Linked DNA regions of Anolis sagrei. The protein of the gene in region 3 purifies or fractionates together with the protein of the main gene of each other region. This does not show direct contact. Links are inferred from orthologs where the notes say so. Each region holds a gene or a part of one and is shown on either strand. Other genes may lie near its edges.

Region 1 (8,094 bases), on a different chromosome or scaffold from region 3:
ATTTAGATTTTAAATTAATCATTGAAAGCATTAAATGCTATATTGTGGACAAAATCTAGCCAGGCTTTCTTTCCCTCAAAATGCACATCAGAGGAAAATGCTATAAGGAGATCTAAGGCCCTTTCTACACTGCTATATAAAATTTGGATTATCTGCTTTGAACTGGATTATATGGCAGTGTAGACTCATATGATCCAATTCAAAGCAGGCAATGTGAATTATCTGCTTTGATAATCTGGATTATATGGCAGTGTAGAAGAGGCCTAAATCAAAGTTGTGTGTGGGTGGAGGGTGATGCTCTTTGTACCCTCTTCTGAAATCATATGTGGGCACCATTTACATCTAGATATGAAGTATTTAAATGAAAAAAAAATATCCCTGAGATGTTTCATGGCACCTTGGTTTTGCCTACAGCAGATCTGAATCCTTTAAAACATGCCCAAAATGAATGTATTTCTAGAATACTGTAAATTTCAAACTTGGTTAACATCATTTACATTTCATTTGGTCTTGTATTTTGGCACAAACACACCTTAATCTGGTACCCTTGTTCATTATATATTTTTCAAAAGATTGACTGTCGTATATACACAAAACACAACTGTGCATACCAATATGTAGCACTTCTTTTGTTGTCTCTACTTTGTGGTGGACAACATCTATCCTACTACTATAACATTTCAAGATACAGAGTAATAGATATAATATACATTTATTATATCGATATACAAAGTTTTTGCAGCATGTAGATATCAAGAGATGACATGACTTACTGGAAAACATGACAGCGCTTCGTAAATTTTAAGCAATAGAAAAAGAGAAAGACCATATTCCAGATGGATTGATTTCAATGTAGGAAGTCATAATGAAGACCTGAGTATGGTTGTTGATCACTGGAGTTCTCCACAGAGTTGGTATATGTCAACTCATCTTGATGGTCTCTAGGACAAATAATTCAGAGCTTCTAAGATCTTGCTCACTTTATACTTGAATGTATTATAGTGACCATATTATGTAATACAGTAGAGTCTCGCTTATCTAACATAAATGGGCCGGCAGAACGTTGGATAAGCGAAAATGCTGGATAATAAAGAAGGATTAAGGAAAAGCCTATTAAATGTCAAATTGTGTTATGATTTTACAAATTAAGCACCAAAAAAATCATGTTTTACAACAACTCGACAGAAAAAGTAGTTCAATGCACGGTAACGTTACGTAGTAATTACTGTATATATGAATTTAGCACCAAAACATTGCAATGGATTGAAATAGCTGTGGATCTGGATGGGAGGTCGACTGTGTTGGATAAAACAGAATGTTGGATGAACGAAGGTTGGATAAGCAAGACTACTGTATTCATCTTTAGACTTTATGATAGGACTAAGCAAACACATTAATATATAATATTAGTAGTTTTGTGATCCATATTGAGACCAGTGTGTTTTGTGTGATTTGGTAAATATGTGGCATTGCAAGTTATTATTGTTATGTGGCATCAAGTTGTTTCAGATTTAGGATAGCCCTAATTGTAAAGTTTAGGGCAGGGGCTGGGTAAAGGACCTTGGAGGGCCACATCTGGCCCGCAGGCCTCTGAGTTAAGACAATCCTTGGAGTGCCAGTGATGTTTATTAAAGAGTAAGGGTGGCGAACATCCAGCAGTGGGACCCTAATTTCAAGGTCTTTGAGTTTTTCTCAGACAGCTACTGCCCCTTTCCTCATAATACTACAATTGGATTGTTTCTCCCCGCAAAATGAATGGATCTCACAACCTCTGAGGATGCCTGTCATAGATGTGGATGAAACGTCAGGAGATAATGCTTCTGGAACATAGCCATACAGCCTGGAAAACTCACAGCAACCCATGAATGGTCCCCCATTTCCCCCTCTGCCCCAGTTTCATAGCCTTCACTGCAAGCCAGTCAGTCAGCATTCTGAGCCCTTGGGACCTGTTCAGTCATTATTACCCTTCTGGGGAATCTTCCCTCAAGACCTTTTCCACAAATATGAGTGTTATCCCAAGCATTTGGTACTGGGTGAGCGCATGAGATAACCCGCAGATATATTGAGGTTCCCATGTCGTGGGTGAGGGTGGAACTACTATAGGCTCCCTTGAACCTGACATTGGGATGCAGCCCAACCCTGGAAGGGAGGGCGCCGTTTTGGATACATATAGGATCACCAAGTGACCCACATTATAAAGGATGCCCCTTATTTGATGTCCCACAGAGAACTGGTAGCCGGTCCTTATTATATGCCCCATTTGAGGACTGGAAAGGATGTATAGAGGGAATGATATGCCAAAAATGTGGAGAGAGGTGTAGGCATTTTGAGAGAGAAAAATAAGGAAGTGACTATCTGAAATTCACTGCCGATGCAGATAGTCATAGGATTAAAATAGATTTGAGATGGTTGCCAGATGCCTAGAAAGAAAAATATCAAAGCCTGGTTTTCATAAAGACAGAAAATTGTTTGTCAGCCCCTAGAAGTCATTTACTGATTACAAGGATTTTTTTTTAAAAAAAACCTGTTGACATAATGATGGAGATTTGAGGCCATCTCCAGGTCTTGGAGTTATCCAGCAAACATTTCTCCTTATACAGACAGCCGTCCATATCAGCAGATTCTGTAACAATGGATTCAATCATCCACAGCTTGAATATAGGTTAAAAATCCCCAAAGCAAACCTTTAAACATGGGACAATATTTTACTATGCCATTGTATATACAGGCAGTCCCCAAACTACAAACATCCGACTCAACTTACATAGTGAGGAACAGGAATGAGAAAACAAGAAGTGAGAGAAATCTGTCTCTAGAAAGGGAAAATCACTCCCTTCCTTATGATATCCAAAGTTCTCTCTCCCCCCCCCCCCTCTACACACACACATACACACTTACTTTTAAAAATGTAACTCCAGCCATGTGTGTGGCTGGAGTTACACTTTAAAATATGTGTGTGAGTGTGTGTGTGTGGCTGGCTGGAGTTACACTTAAAAAGTGTGCGCGCGTGTGTATGTGTGTATATAAATATATATATGGCTGGAGCTACATTTAATAATAATAATAAAACTTTATTTATATCCCGCCATATCTCCCTGTGAGGCCTCAGGGCAGTTTCTAAGAAACAAAGACAAACATGCAGTGCTAATATCCAAAGACAATAACCATAAAAATTTCAACAGAAAATCACAAAAATTAAATTACAACATGACAACATGAAAAAGTGTGTGTGCATGTACATATGTATATGTGTGTGTGTATATATACATATACATACATGACTACACTTAAAAAGTGTGTGTGTATATATATATATGGCTAAAAAGTGTGTGTGTGTGTGTATGTGTGTGTGTGTGTGTATATATATATATATATATATATATATGGCTGGAGTTACACTTAAAAAGAGAAAGAGAGAGAGGGTGTGTGTGTGTATACACTTGGCTACACTTAAAAAGTGTGTGTGTGTATGTGCATATATATGGCTGGAGTTACACTTAAAAAGAGAAGAATGTGAGAGAGAGTGTGTATGTATGTGTGTGTGTGTATATATATATATATATATGGCTATACTTAAAAGGTGTGTGTATATATATATATGTGGCTGGAGTTACATTTAAATGTGTGTGCACGTATGTATGTATCTATCTATCTATGTGTATATATATGGCTGCAGTTACATTTAAAAAGAGAGAGTGTATATATATGTGTGTGTGTGTGTGTATGTATGTATGTATGTGTATATATATATTAGGGCTGGGCGGTTTCGTTCGTTAATTTCGTAATTCGTTATTAATTCGTTATTTTTTTTATAACGAAGCGATATTGAACCATTCAGGAGCAACTTAAAATTGAAACGAATTTTTAAAATTTATTTCGTAATTGTTTCGTAATTGTTTTGTTATTATTTCCGTATGTCTGGTGCAAGTTTTATAGTTGTTGTTTGTTTTATCAGTGATAAAAAAATAAATTATCACACCAAGAGTCAACAACAGAGGGAGAGGGAAGCTTCAGAAGTTCCCCCTGTCCCATTTGGAGGGTTTTTTAGTGTATTGCGCAACCGCGTCCGCCATTAACGAATCGATTCGTTATTGTTTCAAAATTGTTTCGTAATTTCCGAAATTTCGTAAATATCGAACTTTTTTAAAGAAAAATTTCGGAATTCTTTTAAATAACGAAACGCAAAAACCGCCTAAAAACGAATCGAGTTTAGAAACAAATTTTTCTGTGGTTGGACAGCCCTAATTATATATATATATATATATATATATATATATATAGCACACACACACACATTTCAGAACAGGTACTTTTTAAATGTAACTCCAGCCATATCTATCTATCTACCCATGCACACACACATACACTTTTTCCTCAACTTGTGCACGTGCGTGTGTATGGCTGGAGTTACATTTAAAAAGTACCTGTTCCGACTTACATACAAATGCAATTGAAGAACCCACCTTGTTCGTAACTTGGGGACTGCCAGGAATGAACTTGAAAGGGTTTGTTTCCAGGCCTTTTGTGGATATCAACATCTATGGGATTGGGGTTTCCATGATATACAGTGGGGTAGTAAAACGTCATGCCTTATACAACATGGCAAAAAGGAAGGCTTGCCTTTTTGCCATATTTAGGGGGAAGACACGAAGGGCTCCCTTTCCTAACCTGCGCGGCAATTCCCCTTCGTGCCGCCAGGTGGTGGCGGCGAGCCGGCCTCCCGGGAAAGTTTAAGAAAGTTTGCAAGAGGCAGCGCCGGGGCTTTGGACCGGGAGCCAGTCGGAGGTAGGAGCGGTGGCGGAAGGTAGGCGTTTGTAGCGGGAAGGGAAGGGTAGGGTAGGGTAGGGTGCGGACGGCGGCCAGGGAAGCAGGGTCAAGTTTGGAGCGCCTCAAAGGGAGGAAGAGGTGCAGTTGGGACAGTCGGGTGGGCGCTCCTTGCAGAGAAAGCCTTGGCTTGGCTTGGCTTGGCTTGAGTGCCGCTTCCCTTCAGACTAACGGGAAAGGCACACACCTCTTTCCCTCCTTTCCAAAGGCTCCTTGAAGCCGGAGGGTGCCTGCCTCTCTCTCTCTCAGCCAAGGTTTTCCCGTCGCCTTTTCTGTCTCCCCAGCTTTCTGTCCTTGCCTTGCTCTTCTCCTGCCAGCCATGGAGGCCAGAGAGGACCCCGAAGGTGCCGGCTCCTGTGAGGGGGCCTTTGCTGAAGCCAGGCGGTGGGTCGAGGTAAGAGAGGAGGACGAGGAGGAGGAGACGCCACAACTCCCTGGCCTGCAAGATTGAGGGCTAGACTACAATCTGGGATTTGTCTTACTCAGGGTTGCCCCACTGCATCCTGTTCTCTCTCCACAGCTTGTATTGTGTTGCTGTCTCTTTTTAGGGATACAGTTTGGCCCCTCTCAAAGTGCCATGGCTCTAGGCTGGAGCATTTGGGAATTTGGAATGCAGCCCTCTTTGGCAGAGAAGGCTCCAGACCTTGCAGAACTGCAACTCCCTCCATAGTATTGAGAGAATGGTACCCAAAGTAGGGCCACACTGCAGCCATCCCTTAGTTGCAGATGCACCCTCAGAGTAAACAGTAAGGAAGGATGGGTTGTTGTAGGTTTTTCAGGCTGTATTGCCATGTTCCAGAAGCATTCTCTCCTGATGTTTCACCTGCATCTATGGCAGGCATCCTCAGAGGTTGTGATCTGTTGGAAACTAGGAGAATTGGGTTTATATATCTGTGAAAAGTCCAGGGTGGGAGAAAGAACTCTTGCCTGATGGAGGTAGATGTGACTGTTTCGATTGATAAGCATTTAATGGCCTGGGAGTTTTTGTGTGTGTGTGGCTTGTTCTTGCATGAGGGAATCCTTTGTTGAGAGGTGATTAGTTGTTCCTAACTGTTTTTTGTCTGGAGTTCCCCCATGTTTGAGTTTTGTTTTTTATTTACTGTTACAATTTTAAGAGTTTTTAGAGTAAGGAAGGAATTACACTATATAACACAATTGTTGTTCCTGGGTTATAAATGTCATTTCCTAATTGGTTCTACCATAGAATCATAGAATCCTAGAGTTGGAAGAGACCTCATGGGCCTTCCAGGCCAACCCCCTGCTGAGAAGCAGGAAAATCAAATTCAAAGCACCCCCGACAGATGGCCATCCATCCTCTGTTTAAAAGCTTCCAAAGAAGGAGCCTCCACCACACTCCGGGGCAGAGAGTTCCACTGCTGAACGGCTCTCACAGTCAGGAAGTTCTTCCAAATGTTAAGATGGAATCTCCTTTCCTGTAGTTTCAAGCCATTGTTCTGTGTCCTAGTCTCCAGGGCAGCAGAAAACAAACTTGCTCCCTCCTCCCTATGACTTCCTCTCACATATTTATACATGGCTATCATGTCTCCAAACACATGGGGAAAACACTCAGAAACAGAGGAATTCCAGACAAGAAACAATCAGGGCCAGCTAATCACCTCCCAACAAAGGATTCCCTCAGGCAGTAAGAAGCCAGGCCTTGAAACTGCTAGGCCATTAAATGCTAATCAAGGTGGCCAATTGAAACATTCACAAATACCTCAAACAGAAAAGAGTTCTTTCTCCTACCCTGGACATTCCACAGATATATATATAGATATAAACCCAATTTTCCTACAAACCTCACAACCTCTGAGGATGCCTGCCAAAAATGCAGGTGAAATGTCAGGAGAGAATGCTTCTGAAACATGGCCATACAGCCCAGAATACTCATAACAAACCAGTGATTCCGGCCATGAAAGCCTTCGACAATACATGGGGAAACAGTTTATTAAATTGCAAAAACTCTTTTTGCGGGACATCTTACAGCACATTTTGCTATTGTTTTTTCAATTAATATCTCATACTGTCTCAATCAATTCGACATAGTTTGTGGCATCCACAAAACAAAGTTTCTGGATTATAACAACTACTTTCAAACTAAGCGCAACACGATTAAACAGGAAACAGCACTTTCAAACCAGGAACAGATTTTTTTCTGCTGGTATGAAACTGAGAGAATAGCCATATCCTAACAGCAGAACTGTGTGTAGTAAGATATTTTCATTGCATTTTTCCAATTCAGAATCCAAACATATATTAAGACCAGCAATACTGTAAGAGGTTTTTTTTTTCTCTCCATTGCAAGCCTGTGGTATTTTCTGTAACTGGTAATTATTACTATTATTATTTTTGAAGGGAGTGGCTGGCCTCAGGCTCACACTTACTTGGAAGCCCACAGCAGCTCATACAAAAGGATGGAAGAGTGACTTGGCGAGGAATAACATCTCTGTGTATGTGCGAAGGCACGTTCTCATAATTTTATTCCAGGGATATGGAGGGGCAACTGGATCTCTCTTCCTCCTTTGTGGTGGTCACCTTTTTAAAAGGCTACACAGGAACTGTTGTGAGGCTTTAGTCAAACAAAAAGGAGTTGGACCTGTGTTAAAAGTTTCCCTACTTCTTTTCTTGTAACCGGAGTATCAGGTTTTGTGGCTGAGGAATATTTAGCAGAGGCCCTTCAGCTGAGTCCTTGCTCACACTAAACCCAGACTTAAGGATTAGTCTTAATCCTGAACATCATCTTGATGGAGTTAGGTCCCTTTCGGTAGAGTAGCACCAACTTCATGTGTGTAGGATTGAGTTGTTAATATTCTGTTGTGGTTGCTTCGATGCCCTGTTACATAGTGCAGTGGTTCTCAACTTGTGGGTCCCCAGGTGTTCGGCCTACAACTCCCAGAAATCCCAGCCAGTTTACCAGCTGTTGTGATTTCTGGGAATTGAAGGCCCACATCTGGGGACCCACAGGTTGAGAACCATTGGCTTAGTGGGATGTTTTAATGCAGTGTTAAGAAATGTGGGGTCCTCTGGTCTTTTCTAGCTTGCATCTTCCCTCCTCGCTAGTTATGCACCGAGCACCGAGGAGCATTCACACTCTCAAAAATAATATCAAACAGCCTTACTTTAATGTGTGGGAATGACTTTTGTGAAAGAAGATCCAGAACACTGGTTTTTAAAATGTGGGTTTGACCCTAAATGGGGTCCCCTTAACTCAGTGTTGGGGTCATAAAAATTGGCAACTGTAAAGGGTTTCTGAATCCCACCTAGAAATTT
Region 2 (7,809 bases), on a different chromosome or scaffold from region 3:
CGGTGGGAGTTGGAGTCCAAAACACCTGGAGATGCACCCAAGGGCCAAAGCTTGCTGTTGCCTTATCAACATATAAAATCATAGAGTCCTAGAGTTGGAAGAGACCTCCTGGGCCATCCAGTCCAACCCCATTCTGCCAAGAAGCAGGAATATTGCATTCAAAGGACCCTCGATGGATGGCCAGCCAACCTCTGTTTAAAAGCTTCCACCACACTTCAAGGCAGAGAGTTCCACTGCTGAACAGCTCTCACAGTCAGGAAGTTCTTCCTCATGTTCAGATGGAATCTCCTTTCTTGTAGTTTGAAGCCATTGTTCCATTGCGTCCTAGTCTCCAGGACAGCAAAAAACAAGCTTTCTCCCTCCTCCCTATGACTTCCTCTCACATACTTATACATGGCTATCATGTCTCAGCCTTCTCTTCTTCAGGCTAAACATGCCCAGCTCCTTAAGCCGCTCCTCATAGGGCTTGTTCTCCAGACTCTTGATCATTTGAGTCACCCTCCTCTGGTCACATTCCAGCTTGTCAATATGTCTCTTGAATTGTGGTGCCCAGAATTGGACACAATATTCCAGGTGTGGTCTAACCAAGGCAGAATAGAGCATGGGGAGCATGACTTTCCTGGATCTAGACACTATGCTCCTATTGATGCAGGCCAAAATCCCATTGGCTTCTTTTGCCACCACATCACATTGCTGGCTCATGTCTAACTTGTTGTCCACGAGGACGCCAAGATCTTTTCCACACGTACTGCTCTCGAGCCAGGCATCGTCCCCCATTCTGTGTCTTTGCATTTCATTTTTCCTGCCAAAGTGGAGTATCTTGCATTTGTCCCCATTGAACTTCATTTTGTTAGCTTTGGCCCATCATCTCTCTAATCTGTCAAGATCATTTTGAATCCTGCTCCTGTCCTCTGGAATATTGGCTCTCCCTCCCAATTTGCTGTCATCTGCAAACTTGATGATCCTGCCTTCTAACCCTTCATCGAAGTCATTAATAAAGATGTTGAACAGGACCGGGCACTCCACTTGTCACTTCTTTCCAAGATGAAGAGTAAGCATTGGTGAGCAGTCTCTGGGTTCGTTCATTTAACCAGTTATAGATCCACCTCACCGTAGTTTTGCCTAGCCCTGTGATTCTACGCATGATTCTCGGACACAATGGAATAATAGAGTCAAAGTACTAGAAAAGAGCTTCCACCTAAACATTAGGAAGAACTTCGTGATGTTAAAGGCTGGTCGCTTGTTGAATTCACTCCTGCAGTGGAGTCTCCTTCTATGGAGATTTTGGAAATGATGTTGCAGAGGCATCTGTTGGGTTGTGTAAAGGAGGTTGGACTGGATGGCCCTTGGGGACCCTTCCAACCCTCCCAGTCCAAGTATAAGTATCAACACAACATAGATTTGCAATCTTCCATTTTGTTTTCTAATGGCCAACATGGGTCACTTGCCCTGTTGGGAAACGCAGTTTTGCAAGTTGTGGAACTCGCTCACTCTGTGGCACCATTTCCGACTCTGCTTCACGCAGGGACTCTGTTCTTTTCTAAAGGAAGGAAATGTTGTTACAGCTCTCCTGCGAGCCAGTGGCCTCTTTTCTGTAATTCATTGTATAGCGAGATCTAAATATACTTCTGGAATCAGCAGTGTTAACCACAGCGTGCTTTGCCAAAACACATTTGGATGGCTTTTAATGTCCAGGGAAGAGTTACCTGGAATTGGCAGGGTTATATAAACATGTAGACCTAAATCCCAATGATACACTATACCTAAACTATGTGTTGACTCACTATTTGATATTGGATTTAATGGGTTTAACTCTTGTTAGGAGTAACCAAAGGGATTCTAGTTCTAGGGTGCATTTACGCTTTAGAATTAACGCAGTTTGATTTTAAGTGTCATGGTTCAATGCTATGAAATCCCAGGATTTGTAGTTTGCTAAGGTACCAGGACTTTTGGTCAGAAAAGACTTGTAAAACTTCAACTCCCATGACACTGAGTTGTTTCCAATCCATGATGACCCTATCAGGGGGTTTCCTGGCAGGATTTGTTCAGAGATAGTATTCCTTTGCTTCATTTGAGGCTGAGAGAATGTGACTTTCCCATGGTCACTTAGTAGGTGTCATGGCGGAGTGGAGATTGGAACTACAGTCTCCATAGTCATCATCCAACACTCATAGCACTGCACTAGAAACAATATCATACGAAAGCTGACTGGCACAACCTGGGGATCACAACCAGACACAGTGAAGACATCTGTCCTTGTGCTATGCTACTCTGCTGCTGAGTATGCATGCCCAGTGTGGAACACATCTCACCACGCTAAAACAGTGGATGTGGCTCTTAATGAGACATGCCGCATTATTACGGGGTGTCTGCGCCCCACACCACTGGAGAAATTACACTGTCTAGCCAGTATTGCACCACCTGACATCCGCCGGGAAGTAGCAGCCAATAGTGAATGGGCCAAGGCAGAGACATCTCCAGCCCATCCCTTGTTTGAGTATCAGCCAGCACGCCAACGACTTAAATCAAGAAATAGTTTTCTAAGATCTACAGAGACACTCACTAGAACACCCCAGTAAGCGAGAGTCCAAAAGTGGCAGGCTCAAACCCAGAACCTCAATCAATGGCTGATACCAAATGATAGACTTCCCCCTGGGCACACAGAAGACTGGGCGACTTGGAAGGCGCTGAACAGACTGCTCTCTGGCACCATGAGATGCAGAGCCAGTCTTAAGAAATGGGGCTACAAAGTTGAATCCTCGGCATGCGAGTGTGGAGAAGAGCAAACCACTGACCACCTGCTGCAATGCAACCTGAGCCCTGCCACATGCACAAGGGAGGACCTTCTTGCGGCAACACCAGAGGCACTCCAAGTGACCAGATACTGGTCAAAGGACATTTACTCAACTACCAAGTTTGCAAACTTTGTGGTTTTTTTTTAACCTGTTTGTTTTGTTCTGTTCGAAATGTAATACAATGGTCTGGTTGCCCCTGACACCATAAATAAATAGCGATGTTGAATCCATAATAAGTTTCTGTTATACCTAAATACCAAGATAATAAGTAATGATTTTTGTTAGTTTCGGTACATGTTTCTCTACAACAGTGTTTCTCAACCTGGGGTTCGGGACCCCTGGGGAGGTCATGAGGGGGTGTTAGAGGGGTCACCAAAGACCATCAGAAAACACAATACTTTCCGTTGGTCATGGGGATTCTGTGTGGGAAATTTGGCACAATTCTATCATTGGTGTGGTTCAGAATGCTCTTTGATTGTAGGTAAACTATTAATCCCAGCAACTACAACTACCAAATATCAAGGTCTATTTTCCTTAAACTCCAGCAGTATTCACATTTGGGTATATTGAGTATTCATGCCAAGTTTGGTGCAGTTCCATCATTGTTTGAGTTCTCCCTGGATGTAGGTTTACATAAAACTTATACACTACAACTCCCAAACTCAAAGTCAATGCCCACCAAATCCTTCCAGTATTTTCTATTGGTCATGGGAGTTCTATGTGCCAAGTTTGGTTCAATTCCGTCATTGGTGGAGTTCAATTCCATCGTTGTAGGTGAACTATCAATCCCAGCAACTACAACTCCCAAATATCAAGGTCTATTTTCCCCCAACTCTGGCAATATTCACATTTGGGTATATTAAGTATTCGTGCCAAGTTTGGTCCAGTCCCATCATTGTTCTCCCTGGATGTAGGTTTACAGAAAACTTACACACTACAACTCCCAAACTCAAGGTCAATGCCCACCAAACCCTTCCAGTATTTTCTATTGGTCATGGGAGTTCTGTGTGCCAAGTTTGGTTCAATTCCATCATTGGTGGAGTTCAATTCCATTGTTGTAGGTCAACTATAAATCCCAGCAACTACAACTCCCAAATGACAAAATCAATCCTCCCCCAACCCCACCAGTGTTGAAATTTGGGCATATCGGGTATTTGTGCCAAGTTTGGTCCAGTGAATGAAAATACATCCTGTACATCAGATGTGTACATTACGATTCATAACCGGAGCAAAATTATGACGTAGCAATGAAAATCATTTTCTGGTCAGGGGTCAGCACAACATAAGGAATGGAATTCAGGGGTTGTGGCATTAGGAAGGCTGAGAACCACTGCCATAGCAGATCCAGTGTTGCAATGATATGGGACCCGCCAGATACCTGGACTGGGTGGGGAATTGGAAATGGTGACTCAACAGGAGTCCAAATGTCTAAAATATACAATTTTTTCCTTTTTGTCCCAACAGTTCTTTGGTGACGTCTAAGGGAGGGGAGAAGAACGGAAAATTCTTTCCAGACGCTTTGCATGGACCAGTCAGACGCCTGCATATATAGGTAATGCATTTCGTTTTGGCCAAAATGTGATCTCCTTTCTACTTTAGGTTGTTCCAAAAGGCAATGCTATGGTTTCCTGGGAGTTGCAGTTTTGGTGAAGCACCAGCACTGTTTGACAGAGAAGGTTAAAGACCTTCCAAAACTATAATGATTACACTTTAACAGGCATGGCTCCATGCTATGGAAACTTGGGAGTTGCAGTTTGCTGGGGCACCAGCACTCTTTGGCAGAAAAGACCTTGTCGAACCACAACTCTCATGATTCCATAGCATTCATAGAATCATAGAATCAAAGAGTTGGAAGAGACCTCATGGGCCATCCAGTCCAACCCCATTCTGCCAAGAAGCAGGAATATTGCATCCAAATCACCCCTGACAGATGGCCATCCAGCCTCTGTTTAAAAGCTTCCAAAGAAGGAGCCTGCACCACACTCCAGGGCAGTGAGTTCCACTGCTGAACGGCTCTCACAGTCAGGAAGTTCTTCCTCATGTTCAGATGGAATCTCCTTTCTTGTAGTTTGAAGCCATTGTCCCATTGCGTCCTAGTCTCCAGGGAAGCAGAAATGAAGCTTGCTCCCTCCTCCTCCCTGTGGCTTCCTCTCACATATTTATACATGGCTATCATACCTCATCTCAGCCTTCTCTTCTTCAGGCTAAACATGCCCAGCTCCTTAAGCCGCTCCTCATTCCAAGGTGACTAAAGTGGCATAGATTCCAAAAACAATGGATGGGCAGTACCATTATATACATTGGCATAGCAAAGTGGCCACTCTTATATAAAACTAGCTGTCCCCTGCCAGGCATTGCTGTGGCCCAGTCTGCTGATCTGGAAAATAAAGTAATGAGAAAGTGTTGGTTTCTAATATATGTAATTTCTTTATGCTTGTGGGTAAACAGTATTACTTGCTGTTTGTCTGGTTTGTCTACCTAGGAACATGCAACATATAATTGTCCTTCTTTAGGGGTCTCTTTCAAATCCATGATATGATATCTGTGTGTGTCTGAATCCTACCTATCTATCTATCTATCTATCTATCTATCTATCTCTATGGCTGTTTGTCAGGAAGGCTTCAATTATGTTTTCTTGTTCTGGTGAAGGGGGTTGGATTGGATGGCCTTAAGGCAGCATTTCTCAGCCTGGGGGTCAGGACCCCTGCAGAGGTCATAAAGGGGTGTCAGAGGGGTCACCAAAACCATCAGAAAACTCAGTATTTTCTGTTGGACATGGGGATTCTGTGTGGGAAGTTTGCCCCAATTCTACCATTAGTGGGGTTCAGAATGCTCTTTGATTGTAGTTGAACTATAAATCTCTGTAACGACAATGCCCAAATGTCAAGGTCTATTTCCCCCAAACTCCATCTATGTTCACATTTGGGCATATAGAATATTCATGCCAAGTTTGGTCCAGATCATTGTTTGAGTCCACAGTGCTCTCTGGATGTTGGTGAACTACAATTCCAAACTCAAGGTCAATTCCCACCAAACCCTTCTAGTGTTTTCTGTCGGTCATGGGAGTCCTGCGTGCCACGTTTGGTTCAATTCCATCCTTGGTGGAGTTCAGAATGCTCTTTGATTGTAGGTTAACTATAAATCCCAGCAACTACTACTGACAAAATTAATTTTTGAGTGATGTTCACTCCTTGGGTTAGTAGGTGTCTTGAGGCCAAATTTGGCAGCAATTTGTCCAATGGTTTTTGAGTTATGTTAATCCCACAAACGAACATTACATTGAATTGTCGAAGGCTTTCATGGCTGGAATTATCGGGTTGTTGTAGGTTTTGCAGGCTGTATGGCCATGTTCTAGAAGCATTCTCTCCTGCATCTATGGCAAGCATCCTCAGACCTCACATTCCAGCTTGTCAACATCTCCCTTCAATTGTGGTGCCCAGAATTGGACACAATATTCCAGGAATGATCTAACCAAGGCAGAATAGAGCATGGGGAGCATGACTTCCCTGGATCTAGACACTAAACTCCTGTTGATGCAGGTCAAAATCCCATTGACTTTTTTTTGATGCCGCATCACATTGTTGGTTCATGTTTAACTTGTCGTCAATGAGGACTCCAAGATCTTTGTCACACATACTGTTCTCGAGCCAGGCATTGTCCCCATTCTGTCTCTTTGCATTTTGTTTCTTCTGCCTAAGTGGAGTATCTTGCATTTCTCACTGTTGAACTTCATTTTGTTAGTTTTGGCCAATCATCTCTCTAATCTGTGAAGATCGTTTTGAATCCTGCTCCTATCCTCTGGAGTATTGGCTCTCCCTCCCAATTTGGTCCTGTCTGCAAACTTGATGATCGTGCCTTCTAATCCATCATCATTAATAAAGATGTTGAACAGGACCGGGCCCAGGACGGAACCCTGCGGCACTCCTACAGGATCAACCAAGAATGCCTTTATAGCAAACCATGAAGGACACATAACCTGATTCTAGGCAATAGGGTACTTACTTACTTACTTAGGTGATCCCTCGTTGTCTGAGGATGATGGTCCTCCAAGGTGACTCCATAGGTGACTGTGGAACCCTATTCTTGATCTACATCTTCTCCTACAGTGAAGGCATTGGTTTCCAGGTGGAAGGTGGTCCTGGTAGGGGTTGGCTTGATGCACCTTCCTCTTGGCACATTTCTCTCTTTCGCCCTCCATTCGTGCCTCTTCAAATTCTATAGCACTGCTGGTCACAGCTGACCTCCAGCTGGAGCGCTCAAGGGACAGGGCTTCCTAGTTCTCAGTGTCTATGCCAGAGTTTTTGAGGTTGGCTTTGAGCCCATCTTTCAATCTCTTTTCCTGCCCTCCAACATTCCATTTTCCATTCTTGAGTTCGGAGTAGAGCAATTGCTTTGGGAGACGGTGGTCGGGCATCCAGACAACGTGGTCGGTCCAGCGGAGTTGATGGTGGAGGACCATCGCTTCAATGCTGGTGGTCTTTGCTTCTTCCAGCACGCTGACATTTGTCTGCCTGTCTTCCCAAGATTTGCAGGATTTTCTGGAGGCAGCGCTGATGGAATCGTTCCAGGAGTTGCATGTGACACCTGTAGACAGTCCACGTTTCACAGGCGTATAGCAGGGTTGGGAGGACAATGGCTTTATAAACAAGCACCTACGGATGTCCCGGTCCTCAAACACTCTCTGCTTCATTAGGAAAAATGCTCCACTCACAGAGCTCAGGCAGTGTTGTATTTCGGTGTCGATGTTGACTTTGGTGGAGAGATGGTAATATACTCATAATTCTTAAAAGCTTGAGATAGAAAGGATCCAAAAACATTATAGAACAATATTATATAATGACTATATTGGATGTATTTCTAGCAAAGGGATCAAAAAGTATTACAAACTTGAACAAGCAAGGACCACACAGGTTTCTTTTTCTACTAACGAGACATTGAAATGGCAATACTAGGAACCATAGAATCATAGAATCAAAGAGTTGGAAGAGACCTCATGGGCCATCCAGTCCAACCC
Region 3 (8,103 bases):
CCAAAGCAGCTCCAAATAAAGCCAGTTCCAAAACCTAAAAGTATACACACATGAAAACAGCATTAAATATTAACAATATTAAAAAATAAACATTATTATTACTATTATTATTTGTATCCCGCTTTTTCTCTCAGGATAATATCAATACATTGTCGAAAGCTTTCAGGGCCAGAATCACTGGGCTGTTGAGAGTTTTCCAGGCTGTTTGCCCATGTTCCAGAAGCATTCTCTCCTGACGTTTCGCCTACATCTATGGTAGGCAATCCAACAGACTTCACAACCTCTGAGGATGCTTGCCATAGATGCAGACAAAAAATCAGGAGAGAATGCTTCTGGAACATGGCCAGACAGCCCAGAAAACACACAACAACCCAAAATCAATACAACTTAAAATAGAATTAAATTCATCCCCAGTTCCCTCCTTCCCTTCCTGGAATGGCAAAGAATGGGTTTGAGCACCACAAGGGGATGTTTTGTTAGGGAAGCTAAGGAATTGAAACTATTATAATAATTTATTTCAACCCTGGTTTTTCCCCATAGGGACTCAAGAAGGCTTACAATAAAATTATTAGCATTATTATAATTAATGACAATAATAATCATAATTTTATTTCCACACCACTTTTTTCCCCATAGGGACTTGAGAAGGCTCTTTTCTCAGGCCTTCTTTCACCATCCTATCCTTCCTTCCTTTCTTCCTTCCTTCCTTTCTTCCTTCCTTCTCTCTTTCCTTCCTCCTTCCCTCCCTTCAACCCTTTCATCCTTCCTTCCCTTTCCTCCCTCCTTCCCTCTCTCTCTCTCTTCCTCCCTTCTCTTTTGTCTTTCCTTTCTTTTTCCTCCCTCCTCCCTCCATTCCCTTCCACACTTCTTTCTTTCCATCCTTCTCTTCCTCCCCTTTTGTCTTTCCTTCCTTCTTCCTTCCTGCCCTCTTTCTCCCTCCTTTCCTCCCATTCTTTCATCCTTCCTTCCCTCGTTCCTTCCTCCCTTCTCTTTTGTCTTTCCTTTCTTCTTTCTTTCCTCCATTTCCTTACATACTTCTTTCTTTCCCTCCTTCTCTCCCCCTCCCTTTCTTCCTTTTGTCTTTACTTCCTTCTTCCTCCCACGTTCCCATTCTTTCATCCTTCCGTTCTTCGCTCCTTCCTCCCTTCTCTTTCGTCTTTCCTTTCTTCCCTCCCTCCACACTTCCTTCTTTCCATCCTTCTCTTCCTTCCTTTCTCCCCTTGTGTCTTGTCGTCTTTCTCCCTTCCCACCCTTTCTCCCTCCCTCCTTCCCTCCCTTCCTTCTCTTTTCTTTCCTTTCTTTTCTCTCTCCCTCCATTCCCTTCCACCCTTCCATCTTTTCCTTCCTTCCTTCTCTCCTTCCTTCCCTCCCTCTCTTGCTCTCTCCCCTTCCAACCTTTCATCCTTCCCTCTTTCCTTCCTTCTTCCCTCTCTATTTCTCCTTCATTCCTTTTCTTTTGTCTTTCCTTCCTTCTCTCTTTCCTCCTCCCTTCCCTCCCTCCTTCCCTTCCTTCCATCCTTCTCTTCCTTTTTTTCCCTTCCTCCTTTTCTCCTGGGAGATGTTTAGCTGGGAGAAGAGAAGGTAAAGAGAGAACATGAGAGCCATGTTTCAAGATTTCAAAGGTTGTCCCATTGAGGAGGAAGAGGGGGAAAACTGACTTTGTGCTGCTCTAGAGACCAGGGCACAAGGGAGCAATGGGTTCAAATGGCAAATAAAGAGATTCGACTGAAAAGATTCTCTGGAGGCTTTTCCACAGAGGCTATCTATTAGGAGTGCTTTTACTGTGCCTTCTTGCATGGCAGAGGGTTGGACTGGATGGCTCTTGAGGGTCTCTTCCAGCTCTAGGATTATATCTCAGGAGTGGGCAATACGGGTTTCATGGAGATACTTTTTCTCTCCCGTCCACCATCTCATCCTGACCCAAGGCCAACCCTTTTGGAATCCAAATGTTTTCCGTCTTTCCTTACAGTAACATTATTTATTTCCACCCTCCTTTTCTGCCCATAACGACTCAGGGAGACTCATCATTGTCAGCATAACAAGTGTATTTCCACTCTACCTTTATTTACAGTACTTATATAATGCCTTTCTCACCCCGAAGGAGACTCGACAATGGACTCAGTCCATTCAATGCCGATTAGGCAATGACAAGACAGACAACAGATAGGGGTATATATAGGCTTTTTTCTCATCATTCGGTATCTTTGAAGGCTGTGTTCAGTTCTGGCCACAGGGTGGTGCTGTTGCTCTATGTCCTTGCTTTCTTTGTAAATTTTCCTCTGAAACGCCAATGTCAATGTATTTTACATCACCGCTTAATGCAGTTCCAATCCCTCTACTCATGTTTATTTATTTATTTATTTACTATATTTGTATACCGCTCTTCTCAACCCTCAGGGCGACTCAGAGCGGTTAACAAAGCAAATACAATACTTAAACATGATAAAAACAGTTAAAAGAATAACATTATAACAATCAATAACCATCATAACATCTCATCTCATAGTTAAAATCAAGATCCAATCTCATCATCCAAATGTTCCATATTTCTATATTAGTTACACTGCCTATTCAAATGCCTGCTCAAACAACCAGGTCTTCACTTTCCTCCAAAATGTGAACAGGAATCTAATTTCTGTGGGAAGGCTAGGTGGACGGGGAGCTGGGCTGAAGGTCAGGAGCTCACCCTCACCCAGCTTCGAACTGTCAACCTTTTGGTTGGCAAGATTTACTGCAGCTAGTGATTAACCTGTGCTAAAGCCAATCCTTTCTCCCCATAGAGCATCGAGGAGATTTACAATGACGACGACAATGACAAAAATTTTATTTCTACCTTGCGTTTCCTCCCATAGTAACTCAAGGAGGCTTGTAATAACATTATGACTATTAATAATAATAATTGTGTTTCTACCCTGCCTTTCGCTCCATAGGGACTCAAAGAGGTTTACAATTATTATTATTATTATTAATTAATATAATTTTATTTCTACACCACCTTTCTCCTCAAATATATATAATACAATATAATACTAATATATTATTAGGCCAAAATATATAATTATTATATATTATTAATTAATTAATATAATTTTATTTCTACACCACCTTTCTCCCCAAATAAATATAATAAAATATAATATTACTACTAATATAATTATATATTTTGTATTACATGTAATATTACTAATAATATTACAATATAATGGTATAGTAAAATATAGTAATACATAATACTGATATTGTACTATGCTAATAATATAATATATTGTATGTATATATATATCTTGTAAGCCGTTCTGAGTCCCCTTTGGGGTGAGAAGGGCAGCATATAAATGCAGTAAATAAATAATTAATAAATAAAGGGATTCAAAAGAGGGCCACAAGGTCGAAAAGGCCTTTTAGCCCTTTGAGGTTTGGGACTCAATTTCCCAGAAGTCTCAGCCAGCTTATCCAATCACTAGGAATTCTGGGAAATTGAGACCCAAATGCCTGAATGGCCACAAAGTTGAAGAGGCATCCCTTTAGCTGTCTGAGGGTTTAGGATTCAATTTCAAAGCTTCAGCCATCTAGTCCAATGGCGAGGAATTCTGGGAAATGGAGTCCCAAAGCCTAGAGGGCCACAAGAGTAAAGAGGCCTTTTAACCCTTTGGGAGTTTGGGACTCAATTTCCCAGAAGCCTCAGCCAGCTTATCCAATGGCCAGGAATTCTGGGAAGTGGAGTCCCAAAGCCTAGAGAGCCACAAGAGTGACGAGGCCATTTATTTATTTACCTTCCTTATATACCGCTGTTCTCAGCCCGAAGGCGACTCACAGCAGTTCACAACAAATACGAACAGCAAAAATTCAGTGCTACAGTATAAAAACAGTTAACCTAACACATTACACAATTAATAAAGTTACTACAATACCCATTCACTGTCGTCTCATCATCAAAAACATGTTCCAGATTCGTCATCCATTGTTCCATTCCAGTGTTCATTAACCAATCATTGCACTAATTATTCGAACGCCTGCTCAAACAGCCAGGTCTTCACTTTTTTGCGGAATACCATTAGAGATGGTGCTAGTCTAATGTCTGTAGGAAGGGCGTTCCAACGCCGAGGAGCCACCACTGAGAAGGCCCTATCTCTCGCCCCCGCCAGCCGTGCTTGAGAAGCAGGCGGGATCGAGAGCAGGGCCTCCCCGGAAGATCTCAAAGTCCTGGTGGGTTCATAGGCAGAGATGCGGTCGGATAGGTAGCTTGGGCCGGAACCGTTTAGGGCTTTAAAGGCCAACGCCAGCACTTTGAATTGAGCCCGGTAGCAGATCGGTAGCTAGTGGAGTTGGCGCAACAGGGGGGTTGTATGCTCCCTGCGCTCCGCTCCTGTTAAAATCATGGCTGCCGAGCGTTGGACTAGTTGGAGCTTCCGAGCTGTCTTCAAAGGCAACCCCACGTAGAGAGCGTTGCAGTAGTCTAAACGGGATATAACCAGAGCGTGGACTACCGTGGCCAAGTCAGACTTCCCAAGCCCTTTGGGAGTTTGGGACTCAATTTTCCAGAAGCTTTAGCCAGCTTATCCAATAGCCAGGAATTCTGGGAAGTGGAGTCCCAAAGTCTAGAGGGCCACAAGAGAGGAAGAGGCCTTTTAGCCCTCTGGGAGATTGGGACTCAATTTCCCAGAAGCCTCAGCTAGCTTGTGTAATGGCCAGTAATTCTGGGAAACTGAGTCCCAAAGCCTGAAGGGCCACAGGGAGAGCGGACTTGGCTCTCAATGCTTCAAAACTAAACCCAACCCGAATGCAATGTGGTGGGATGTGAGTGCCACTCTCTTCGGGCGGGCCAATGGAGGGGCCAGCAGTTGCCAAGGGAGGGAGCCGCGGTTGCCATGGGGCCTGCCTGGGCGCGGCCTCACTTTGCGCATGCGCGCTCCCCCTCCCGGCTTGTTTGGCGGTGCCCGGATGTGAGCGGGAGGAGGAGGAGGAGGCGCCGCGGCCGCCATCTTTGCCCAGAGCGGAGCAGCGAGCGCGGATCGTGGCTGAGCCCCCGCCGCCGGACCATCGGTCTCCATCCGCCCCCGCGCAGCCCCCGCCGCCCTCCTCGCCCCGCGGACATGGACGACCGGGAGGACCTCGTCTACCAGGCCAAGCTGGCCGAGCAGGCCGAACGTTATGACGGTGAGGACGGGGCCCGGAAGGGCGGGTGGGGGGAGGGAAGAAATTGAGGCAGGCTCAAAATGAGGCCTAGGCCCTGAGGCGAGGTAAAGGTGGAGGTTGAGCGGCGGGAGCGGGAACAGCGCGAAGGAGGAGGGAGACAAAATGGCGGAAGGAAGGAAGGAAAGGAAGGAGGGAGGGAAGCCGAGAGAGGAGAAGGAAGGAAATGAGGAGCCGGGAGGGACAAAATGGCGGACAGTCTAAAGAGAGGGAGAGAGGAAGAGCGCGGAGGGGGGCGCAGTTGGGGGACCAAAGGGAGGAACAGCCAGGGACAAAAGCTCCAAAGGGAGGGAGGGAAGGGTGGGCGTGGCTTAGGGACCACCTCCCTCCCAAGCCACGCCCTTCCCTGGTCTCCCCTCCTTTGTGTTCCCTTTTTTGGGGGGGTCCAAAGCTAAGGAGACAGGGGATCAGATCATATTAGAAACCCCACCCCTCCACCCCCAATATCTCCATCTTGGCCTGCAAGGGAGGGAGGGTCTGCTTTGGCCCCGCCCACCTCTCTTTCCCCCCTCGGCCATTTCCCAAAGGTTTTCCCAAGGTCCTGGCCCCGCCCACAACTCTCCCTCATCACCCCCCCCCCCCCAAATATATCTCATGCAGAAGGGGCCAAAGAGGTGCCATAATTAATAATCATGTAATGCAGGCCTGGGCAAACTTGAGCCCTCCAGGTGTTTTGGACCAACTCCCACAATTCCTAACAGCCTCAGGCCCCTTCCTTTCCCCCCTCGGGAAACACCTGGAGGGCCCAAATGTGCCCATGCCTGATATAATATCTTATTGCCCGCCTTGAGGTGCAGCAAAATAGGTTTCATCATAATAAGAATAGTATTCATTTATTACTCCAGTAGGAGGTAATAATAGATATTAATAATATAGTAATTCTCTCTTCCTTCCTGGCAGAAAGGGGAGTTGGACTGGGTGGCCTGTAGAAGTAGAAGTTCCAACTCTGAGTCTGATGGTGATGATGATGATAGTAATGGTAATAATAATGCCAGAAGAGAGGTTGGACTGGGTGGCCTGTAAAAGTCCCAACTCTTGAGTTTGATGATGATGGTAATAATAACAATGCCAGAAGAGGGGTTGGATTGGGTGGCTTTTAGAAGTCCCTTCCATTTAAATCTGATGATAATAATATGGTGATTCTACCTGCTTGGCAGAAGAGGGGTTGGACCGGTTGGCCTTTAGAAGTCCCTTCCAACTATATGAGTCTGATGATGAAAATAGTAATTCTACCTGTTTGGTAGAAGGGGGTGGAATTGGGTGGCCTTTAGACATCCCAATTTTGAGTCTGATAATAATAACTGCATAATAATAATAATTCAAGCCAGTAAAGCTGGTCCCAGTGGTGATCGGCACACTGGGTGCAGTGCCTAAAGACCTTGGCCTGCACTTAAACACAATCGGTGCTGACAAAATTACCATCTGCCAGCTGCAGAAGGCCACCTTACTGGGATCTGCACGCATTATTCACTGATACATCACACAGTCCTAGACACTTGGGAAGTATCCGACGTGTGATCCAATTCAACAGCCAGCAGAGTGTCTGCTGTGGACTTATCTTGTTGTTTTTCAAATAATAATACTAATAATATAATAGCAAATCTGTCCTTCTGTTTGGCAGAAGAGGGTTGGACTGGGTGGCCTTTAGAAGTCCTAACTCAGAGTCTGCTAATAACAATTGAATAATACAAATAATAATATAGTAATTCTATTTTCCTGTTTGGCAGAAGAGGGGTTGGACTGGGTGGCCTTAAGACTTCAACTCTTGAGTCTGCCTAATAATAATAATAATAATAATAATAATAATAATAATAATAAGGCCTCCTTACTTGGATCTGCATTAATCATTCAATACATCACACAGTCCTAGACACTTGGGAAGTGTTTGACTTCTGATTTTGTGATACGAAATCCAGCATATAGATCTCGTTCGCTGTGAATGCTGTATTTTGGTGTCAGTAAATAATAATAATAATAATAATAATAATAATAATAATAATAATATAGTATTTCTACCTTCCTTCCTAGTAGAAGGAGGGATGGACTGGGTGGCCTTTAGAAATTCAAACTCTGAGTCTGATAGTAATAATTGCATAATAATAATAATAATAATAATAATAATAATATGGTAGTTCTATAGTTCTGTTTGGCAGAAGGGAGTTGAGCTAGGTGGCCTTTAGAAGTCCTAACTGAGTCTGCCTGATGATGATGATGATGATATAGTAATTCTATATTCCTTCCTGGTAGAAGGAGGCTTGGACTGGATGGCCTTTAGAAGTCCCAACTCTGAGTCTGATGATGATGATGATGATAATAATAATAATAATAGAATTATAGAGTGGAAGAGACCCTGTGGGCCATCCAGCCCAACCCTCTGCAAAGAAGCAGGAAAATCGTATTCGGTAATAAAAATACAGGAATTCTACCTGGTTGGCAGAAGGGGGTTGGAGTGGGTGGCCTTTAGAAGTCCCTTCCAACTTGTGATTCTGTCTAATAGTAGTAGTAGTAGTAGTAGTAATACTGATAATAATATATTCCTATTTGGCAGAAAAGTGGTTGGACTGGGTGGCCTTTAAAAGTCCCAACTGAGTCTGAGAATAATAATATAGTAATTCTTCCTGGCAGAAAGGGGTTGGACTGGGTGACCTTTAAGTTCCTTCCAACTGTATGAATCTGATGATGATAATGATGATCGTTAACTGCGTGCCTCTCTTTTAGCTCAAGGCTGAAAAGCATAATAAATTATTACTAATATTATTACTCACCTCGACTTGAGGCAGCAGGGCACAACTCAGTCACACACACCTCTCTATACAATTACCTGTTTAAACATAGTTAAAATGCAACTATCAATGCCTTTGTGATATGACCTGAGGGCTAATCAATAAAATTTACTACAAACGATCAATGCAA
Region 4 (7,644 bases), on a different chromosome or scaffold from region 3:
CAAGGAATCCGGACGCTTGCGGAGAAAAGAGGAGAAGAACAGCGGCAAAAAAACAAACAAAAACGAAACCCTAAAAAAGGATAACAAAAAAAATAATCACATACAAACCAACCGCAGCTTAATTCTTGTACATATATTTAAGTGATAAAAAAACCCCAAACCCATTGTGGGGGGCGGGGCTAAGTTTTAGGAAGTTGTTTGGAAGCAAACTCCTCCGGTGTCTCCTAACGTTGGGGTTTGTCCGGCGGAAATCTTTCTTTCTTCTTTTTCATTTTAGCGAAAGGCCTCTACGGATCAGGGCAGCGAACCCTTGTTGTGTCCTGTCCCACCCGTTCCCCCTGTTTAATATCTCCGTTAATTTGATTGTGATTGAAAACTCGGAACATTTTTGCTGCTAAAGCCGTCCCCAGCCCTTTGTTTTCTCCCCCGTTCCCTTTTTGCACCTCCTCTTTTTCTCCCTTGTTCCCCTTTCGTACCGCCTCTTTCCTCCCCCGTTTCCCTTTCATATCACCTCTTTTCTCCCCGTTACTCTTTCGTACCGCCTTTTTTCTCTCCATTCCTCTTCTGCGCCACCTCTTTTCTCCTCCGTTCCCCTTTTGTACCACCTCTTTTCTCCGCTGTTCCCCTTTCATACCGCCTCTTTTCTTCCCGTTACTCTTTCGTACTGCTTCTTTTCTCTCCATTCCTCTTCTGCGCCACCTCTTTTCTCCTCTGTTCCCCTTTCATACCGCCTCTTTTCTCCGCCGTTCCCCTTTCGAACCGCTTCTTTTCTCACCCGTTCCTCTTTCGTACCGCTTCTTTTCTCCCCGTTCCTCTTTCGCACCGCCTCTTTTCTTCCCCGTTTCCCTTTCGTACTGCGTTTCTCCCTGTTCCTTTTTCATACTGCTTCTTTTCTCCATTCCCCTTTTGCACCGCCTCTTTTCTCCCCCGTTCACCTTTCGCACCTCCTCCTTTTCTTTTCCCAATATGAAGAAAACCTTCCCGCGATTACAAAACTACGAGCCCTTCTCTGACCCCAAGAGAACATAATCTTGAACAGATGAGTGTGCCTGCAACAAGGGGGGATTTCGGGGAGGGAGGGAGATATCATATTTTTCTATTAAGCATATTCATTTATTTTTTATTTGGTAGGCCGTACTTGAGAAGAGTGGCTCGCGATAGCAAACGCCTCTCCGTTTTTGTTTTGGGCGGACGGGATTTCGAGTTGTCCCTCTTTTGCCTCTTTCTGAGATTCACATTTTGGGTGGACTTTTCTTTTCTCGTCAAAGCCTTGAAATGTACTCAAAACATCTGCGGAATCCCAGGGCTTCAAAAAGGTATATATATGGAGACAGGGAGCTATACATATATATATATAAATATAAGATCCTCTTAAAGCCAGAGATCCTGATAAGGGTCCAGAGTCATTTTTCTTCTTCTCGGCGCCTACCAATCCAAAAGGGCAGGGGATGCATTTTTACGTTGCGTGTACCACGTTTTGTATCCATGGCTTGGCCTTACCAAAGCAAAAAAAAGGGTGCAGAAAAAAATAAAATAAAAAATAGAATAAAAAAATAATAAATAATAATACGTAGACTTGCTTTTTTTAAAGAAAAATAAATAAATAGAAACTCTATACAAAAAAAAAAAGACGGAAACATTTTTGTATGACCGACTGCCCCCTGCTTTAACGATACTTGAATTTCGTTTTTAAAACAAAGGATTTGAAACCACCGTGTTTTAAAATGATAATAATAATTAAGCCTGAAAAGAAAATCCGTTTTTTTTCCTTTCTTTTCTTTTCTTTTTCCACTGACAGCGTCCTCTGTTCAGTTCCTGATTCTTGAACAATAATAAATGGTGATACGCATTCACAAGACTCTTCCTGCCTGGGTCGTTCTTCATTGTCTTTTATTGGGATGAGAGACTGCTGGGTGACCACTAGTCGAATTGTCCACTTTGAGGTCGTATCAGCTGAAGCTGGGAGTAAACACTCCTGGCCATTGTCGCTTCTACCAGGGCTGACATTGGAGAGAAGAACCAGGAGAATGCCAAGCTGCGAACACACACTTTCAGGGGAGTGTATGTCAGAAATATTAAATATTAACTAGGCATTTTTAATTACAAAAAGCACTGAAAGAGTTAAATGGATGTAATGACTCAGCAGAAGCTGCAGTTTAATATAGGCAGGTGTGCCTGAAGCTTAGTAGCCCTCAGTCTGGGAGAGGTCTCTGTGGGAGAAGGGCCTCAGTGTGCTAGTAGGCCTCTGTATGAGAAGGCCTCAGTGTGAGGTGGACCTCTGTATGAGAAGGCTCCAGTGTTAGTTTGCCTCAGTGGGAGAAAGGCTTCAGTGTGAGGTAGGCCTCAGTATGAGAAGGCTCTAGTGTTAGTTCGCCTCAGTGGGAGAAAGGCCTCAGTGTGAGGTAGGCCTCAGTATGAGAAGGCTCCAGTGTTAGTTTGCTTCACTGGGAGAAAGGCCTCAGTGTGAGGTAGGCCTCAGTATGAGAAGGCTCCAGTGTTAGTTCGCCTCAGTGGGAGAAAGGCCTCAGTGTGAGGTAGGCCTCAGTGTTAGTAGGCCATAGTATGAGAAGGCCTCAGTGGGAGAAAGGCCTCAGTGTGAGGTAGACCTCTGTATGAGAAGGCTCTAGTGTTAGTTTGCCTCAGTGTGAGAAAGGCTTCAGTGTGAGGTAGGCCTCTGTATGAGAAGGCCTCAGTGTTAGTTTGCCTCACTAGGAGAAAGGCCTCAGTGTGAGGTAGGCCTCAGTATGAGAAGGCCTCAGTGTTAGTTCGCCTCAGTGGGAGAAAGGCCTCAGTGTGAGGTAGGCCTCAGTATGAGAAGGCCTCAGTGTTAGTTTGCCTCACTAGGAGAAAGGCCTCAGTATGAGAAGGCCTCAGTGTTAGTTTGCTTCATTGGGAGAAAGGCCTCAGTGTGAGGTAGGCCTCAGTATGAGAAGGCCTCAGTGTTAGTTCGCCTCACTGGGAGAAAGGCCTCAGTGTGAGGTAGGCCTCAGTGTTAGTAGGCCATAGTATGAGAAGGCCTCAGTGTGAGGTAGGCCTCAGTGTTAGTAGGCCATAGTATGAGAAGGCCTCAGTGTGAGGTAGGCCTCAGTATGAGAAGGCTCCAGTGTTAGTTTGCTTCACTGGGAGAAAGGCCTCAGTGTGAGGTAGGCCTCAGTATGAGAAGGCTCCAGTGTTAGTTCGCCTCAGTGGGAGAAAGGCCTCAGTGTGAGGTAGGCCTCAGTGTTAGTAGGCCATAGTATGAGAAGGCCTCAGTCGGAGAAAGGCCTCAGTGTGAGGTAGACCTCTGTATGAGAAGGCTCTAGTGTTAGTTTGCCTCAGTGGGAGAAAGGCTTCAGTGTGAGGTAGGCCTCTGTATGAGAAGGCCTCAGTGTTAGTTTGCCTCACTAGGAGAAAGGCCTCAGTGTGAGGTAGGCCTCAGTATGAGAAGGCCTCAGTGTTAGTTTGCTTCACTGGGAGAAAGGCCTCAGTGTGAGGTAGGCCTCAGTATGAGAAGGCCTCAGTATGAGAAGGCCTCAGTGTTAGTTCGCCTCAGTGGGAGAAAGGCCTCAGTGTGAGGTAGGCCTCAGTATGAGAAGGCCTCAGTGTTAGTTTGCCTCACTAGGAGAAAGGCCTCAGTATGAGAAGGCCTCAGTGTTAGTTTGCTTCACTGGGAGAAAGGCCTCAGTGTGAGGTAGGCCTCAGTATGAGAAGGCCTCAGTGTTAGTTCGCCTCACTGGGAAAAAGGCCTCAGTGTGAGGTAGGCCTCAGTGTTAGTAGGCCATAGTATGAGAAGGCCTCAGTGGGAGAAAGGCCTCAGTGTTAGTAGGCCATAGTATGAGAAGGCCTCAGTGTGAGGTAGGCCTCAGTGTTAGTAGGCCATAGTATGAGAAGGCCTCAGTGGGAGAAAGGCCTCAGTGTTAGTAGGCCTCAGTATGAGAATGCCTCAGTGTCAGCCTGCCATCAACTCCACTGGACTGTCCACGTTGCCTGAATGTCCGATCACAAACACACATATATATATAGATATACACAAATATACTCACACAAAGTGTGAGTAGGCCTCAGTAATAATAATAGGAATTGTGGGAGTTGCAGTCCAAAACAGCTGGAGGGCCCAAACTGGCCCAGTCCTGACTGCGATGCCTCCAAACTCTGTCTCAGGCCCATCTCCGCCTTTTATATCTTCCCTGCGGAAGGTTCTGTCAGGTGTTGTTCGTCCCTCAGGCGTATTTCTGCCTTTCTCCTCATGATACACCACTGAGGTCTCCCTCCGCGCTGCTGGCTGGTTAAAGAGTCCCAGAATAGAACCTTTTGGATGAGAACCCCTTTTTCGAACGCTGATTGGCTGCCTCCCCGGAGTCCGTCCCACCCCCCCGGCGTTTTCCCTTCACTGGATTGGACTAGAGCTGAGCCGTGATTGACAGATGACGTTTCCTCCCCCTTTTTTTTTCGATTGACACTGATTCCTCACCTATGAGATGCCTTGATTGGGAAGCAGCGCGAGGCCTGATTGGGCAGCGGGGCGAAAGGGGCGGGGCTTGTCTGTGGGGACGGGTGCCGACTCCTCTTCTCCTCAGTAGCGCTCCTGTCAGGCGTGAGGGTCGGGGCTCCCGTTCGTCTCGCCTGTGGTAGCCCTTCGCCGGCTCGGGGGGCTCCGTCATGGGCCTCGGCGGCTTTTACCCCGCTTCCCGTTCCCGGAGGAGATGGTGATTTAATCCGGTTTCGAACCGCGCTGAGGTAAAAAGGGGAGCGGGAGAAGGCGGTGGGAGGGGGGGCGCCGTGAGGGGGAGCCGTCACGTGACCCGACTCCCAGCGGGGGCGGGGCCAGGAGCAGTGGGCGGGGCCAGCGCTCAGAGACTCCTCCCCTTTCCCCTCCCTTTGGCTCTTCCATCCTCAATACCCAGAATGGGGGGATATTGGGGATGAGTCCAGGCTAGGAAGGGATACAGAGAAGAAGGCCCAGTCCCTTCCCATTGGCCCATTTGGGAAAACAATAAATAATAAAATAAATAAAAATTTAAAATAATAAAATAAATAAAATTTAAAATAAATAATAAATAAAATAAAAGGAGAAGCCAAAAAGGAAGGCCCAGTTCCTTCCCATTGGCCCATTTGGGAAAACAATAAATAATAAAATAAATAAAAATTTAAAATAATAAAATAAATAAAATTTAAAATAAATAATAAATAAAATAAAAGGAGAAGCCAAAAAGGAAGGCCCAGTTCCTTCCCATTGGCCCATTTGTGAAAACAATAAATAATAAAATAAATAAAATTTAAAATAATAAAATGAATAAAATTTAAAATAAATAATAAATAAAATAAAAGGAGAAGCCAGAAAGGAAGGCCCAGTTCCTTCCCATTGGCCCATTTGGGAAAACAATAAATAATAAAATAAATAAAAATTTAAAATAAATAATAATAAATAAAATTTAAAATAAATAATAAATAAAATAAAAGGAGAAGCCAAAAAGGGGGGGAAATGGTTGTCATTTTTGCAAAACCTAGGCTTACATCCTAATGTATCTGGAGTGTGGATAGTCTTCATGAGGGGAATATGTAGAAAGGATATACAATTTATAAGGAATGGTAATTTTTTTTTGTCAGGTCAGGAGTGACTGCAAGTCACTCCTGGTGTGAGAGAATTGGCCGTCTGCAAGGACGTTGCCCAGGGGACGCCTGGATGATTGATGTTTTTATCATACTTTCGGGAGGCTTCTCTCATGTCCCCGCATGGGGAGCTGGAGCTGATAGAGGGAGCTCATCCGCCTCTCCCCGGATTCGAACCTGCAACCTGTCGGTCTTCAGTCCTGCCAGCACAGGGCTTTAACCCACTGCGCCACCGGTGGTATAGTACAATATAATAATGTATATTATTTATTTATTTATTTATTTATTTTGCTTATATACCGCTGTATCTCAAGCCCGAAGGCGACTCACAGCTGTTCACAAACAGTAAAAACAGTAGAAACAGCAGTGGTTCCATACAACATATAACAATTGACTTAACACATTATCCATAAATTACCAATAAGCAATTACAATGCACAATTATTACAAAAAAACAACCGTACCCAATCTTCTCATCATCCAAGCGTAGTCCAGGTTCGTCGTCCATTGTTCCATTCCTATGTTCCATTACCAGATTGCACTAAATTACTCAAACGCCTGCACAAACATCCAGGTCTTCACCTTTTTGCGGAATACCATTAGAGATGGTGCTAGTCTAATGTCCGTAGGAAGGGCGTTCCACAGCCGAGGAGCCACCACCGAGAAGGCCCTATCTCTCGTCCCCGCCAGCCGAGCTTGAGAAGCAGGCGGGATCGAGAGCAGGGTCTCCCCGGAAGATCTCAAAGTCCTGGTGGGTTCATAGGCAGAGATGCGGTCAGATAGGTAGCTTGGGCCGGAACCGTTTAGGGCTTTAAAGGCCAACGCCAGCACTTTGAATTCAGCCCGGTAGCAGATCGGTAGCCAGTTGGCGCAACAGGGGGGTTGTATGCTCCCTGCGCTCCGCTCCTGTTAAAATCATGGCTGCCGAGCATTGGACTAGTTGGAGCTTCCGAGCTGTCTTCAAAGGCAACCCCACGTAGAGAGCGTTGCAGTAGTCTAAACGGGATGTAACCAGAGCATGGACTACCGTGGCCAAGTCAGACTTCCCAAGGTACGGGCGCAGTATAATGCTTATATTGTTCTATTCTGATACTTTAATATATTATATAATAATATTGATAATATTATAATACAATATAATAGAAATACAATAATATATAATAATATTGTAATGTAGTAATACTAATTTAATTATAATGTGATATATATTTTATATTAAATGTAATATTACTAATAATGTTGCAATATAATTGTATAGTACAATAAAGTGATATATAGCACTGAGATTGGCTGAGATTGGCGGGGACGAGGAGCAGGGCCTTCTCAGTGGTGGCCCCTCACCTATGGAATTCACTCCCCGGGGAAATTAGATCAGCGACATCCCTCCTTTCCTTTAGAAGGAAAGTAAAAACATGGATTTGGGACCAGGCGTTTGGGCAATCTGGCAGATAAAAAAAAGGACTACGACGACAGACAGGAATAGACAATGTAGAATGTAGTATGGACTCTGAGTTGGCAAACGCTGACCATGAGATTGATTTATTGACTGTGATATATATTGATTGTTTTAATTGTTATAACTGTTTAATTGCTGTTTTTATATGTTTATTGTATTATTGTGTAGGCATCAAATTGTGCCTTTTTGTAAGCCGCCTGAGTCCCCCCTCGGGGGTTGAGAAGGGCGGGGTAGAAGTATACGAAATAAATAATAAATAAATTGTACTGTGCTCATGGTATAATGTATTGTGTGTGTGTATGTGTGTGTGTATCTTGAAAGCCACTCTGAGTCCCCTTCGGGGTGTGAAGGGCAGCATATAAATAATGCAAATAAATAAATAATATATTAAATATGATACTACCGATAATCTATATAAATACAAATGTAATGTTCATTTGTGGGATTAACATAACTCATAAACCACTGGATGAATTGACACCAAATTTGAACACAATGCACCCATCAGGCCAGTGAGTGACCATCACTAATAAAAACACTGAAAAACACAGCGGAAGAGAATTTAAAAGCCAAAAAACAAAAATACATTTCAACGCATG

What was found.
Region 1: the proteins of YWHAE (region 3) and LMO7 purify together in Homo sapiens (affinity purification with mass spectrometry; 3 studies listed by BioGRID and IntAct, with this or other methods). This does not show direct contact. The link is inferred for Anolis sagrei from reciprocal best matches to the Homo sapiens genes YWHAE and LMO7.
Region 2: the proteins of YWHAE (region 3) and FRMD6 purify together in Homo sapiens (co-immunoprecipitation; 3 studies listed by BioGRID and IntAct, with this or other methods). This does not show direct contact. The link is inferred for Anolis sagrei from reciprocal best matches to the Homo sapiens genes YWHAE and FRMD6.
Region 4: the proteins of YWHAE (region 3) and KIF1B purify together in Homo sapiens (affinity purification with mass spectrometry; 3 studies listed by BioGRID and IntAct, with this or other methods). This does not show direct contact. The link is inferred for Anolis sagrei from reciprocal best matches to the Homo sapiens genes YWHAE and KIF1B.

What each region holds. Positions count from the first base shown.
Region 1 is NC_090023.1:128,539,469-128,547,562, reverse strand, and holds the start of LMO7 (LIM domain only protein 7), read left to right. Parts: upstream 1-4,721; 5' UTR 4,722-4,804; intron 4,805-4,839; exon of another isoform or gene 4,840-4,905; intron 4,906-5,108; 5' UTR 5,109-5,143; coding exon 5,144-5,218; intron 5,219-8,094.
Region 2 is NC_090021.1:338,286,264-338,294,072, forward strand, and holds the start of FRMD6 (FERM domain-containing protein 6), read left to right. Parts: upstream 1-4,262; 5' UTR 4,263-4,347; intron 4,348-7,809.
Region 3 is NC_090031.1:27,489,806-27,497,908, forward strand, and holds the start of YWHAE (14-3-3 protein epsilon), read left to right. Parts: upstream 1-4,938; 5' UTR 4,939-5,090; coding exon 5,091-5,154; intron 5,155-8,103. UniProt on the Homo sapiens protein: Adapter protein implicated in the regulation of a large spectrum of both general and specialized signaling pathways. Binds to a large number of partners, usually by recognition of a phosphoserine or phosphothreonine motif.
Region 4 is NC_090033.1:6,018,298-6,025,941, forward strand, and holds the start of KIF1B (kinesin-like protein KIF1B), read left to right. Parts: upstream 1-4,542; 5' UTR 4,543-4,716; intron 4,717-7,644. UniProt on the Homo sapiens protein: Has a plus-end-directed microtubule motor activity and functions as a motor for transport of vesicles and organelles along microtubules.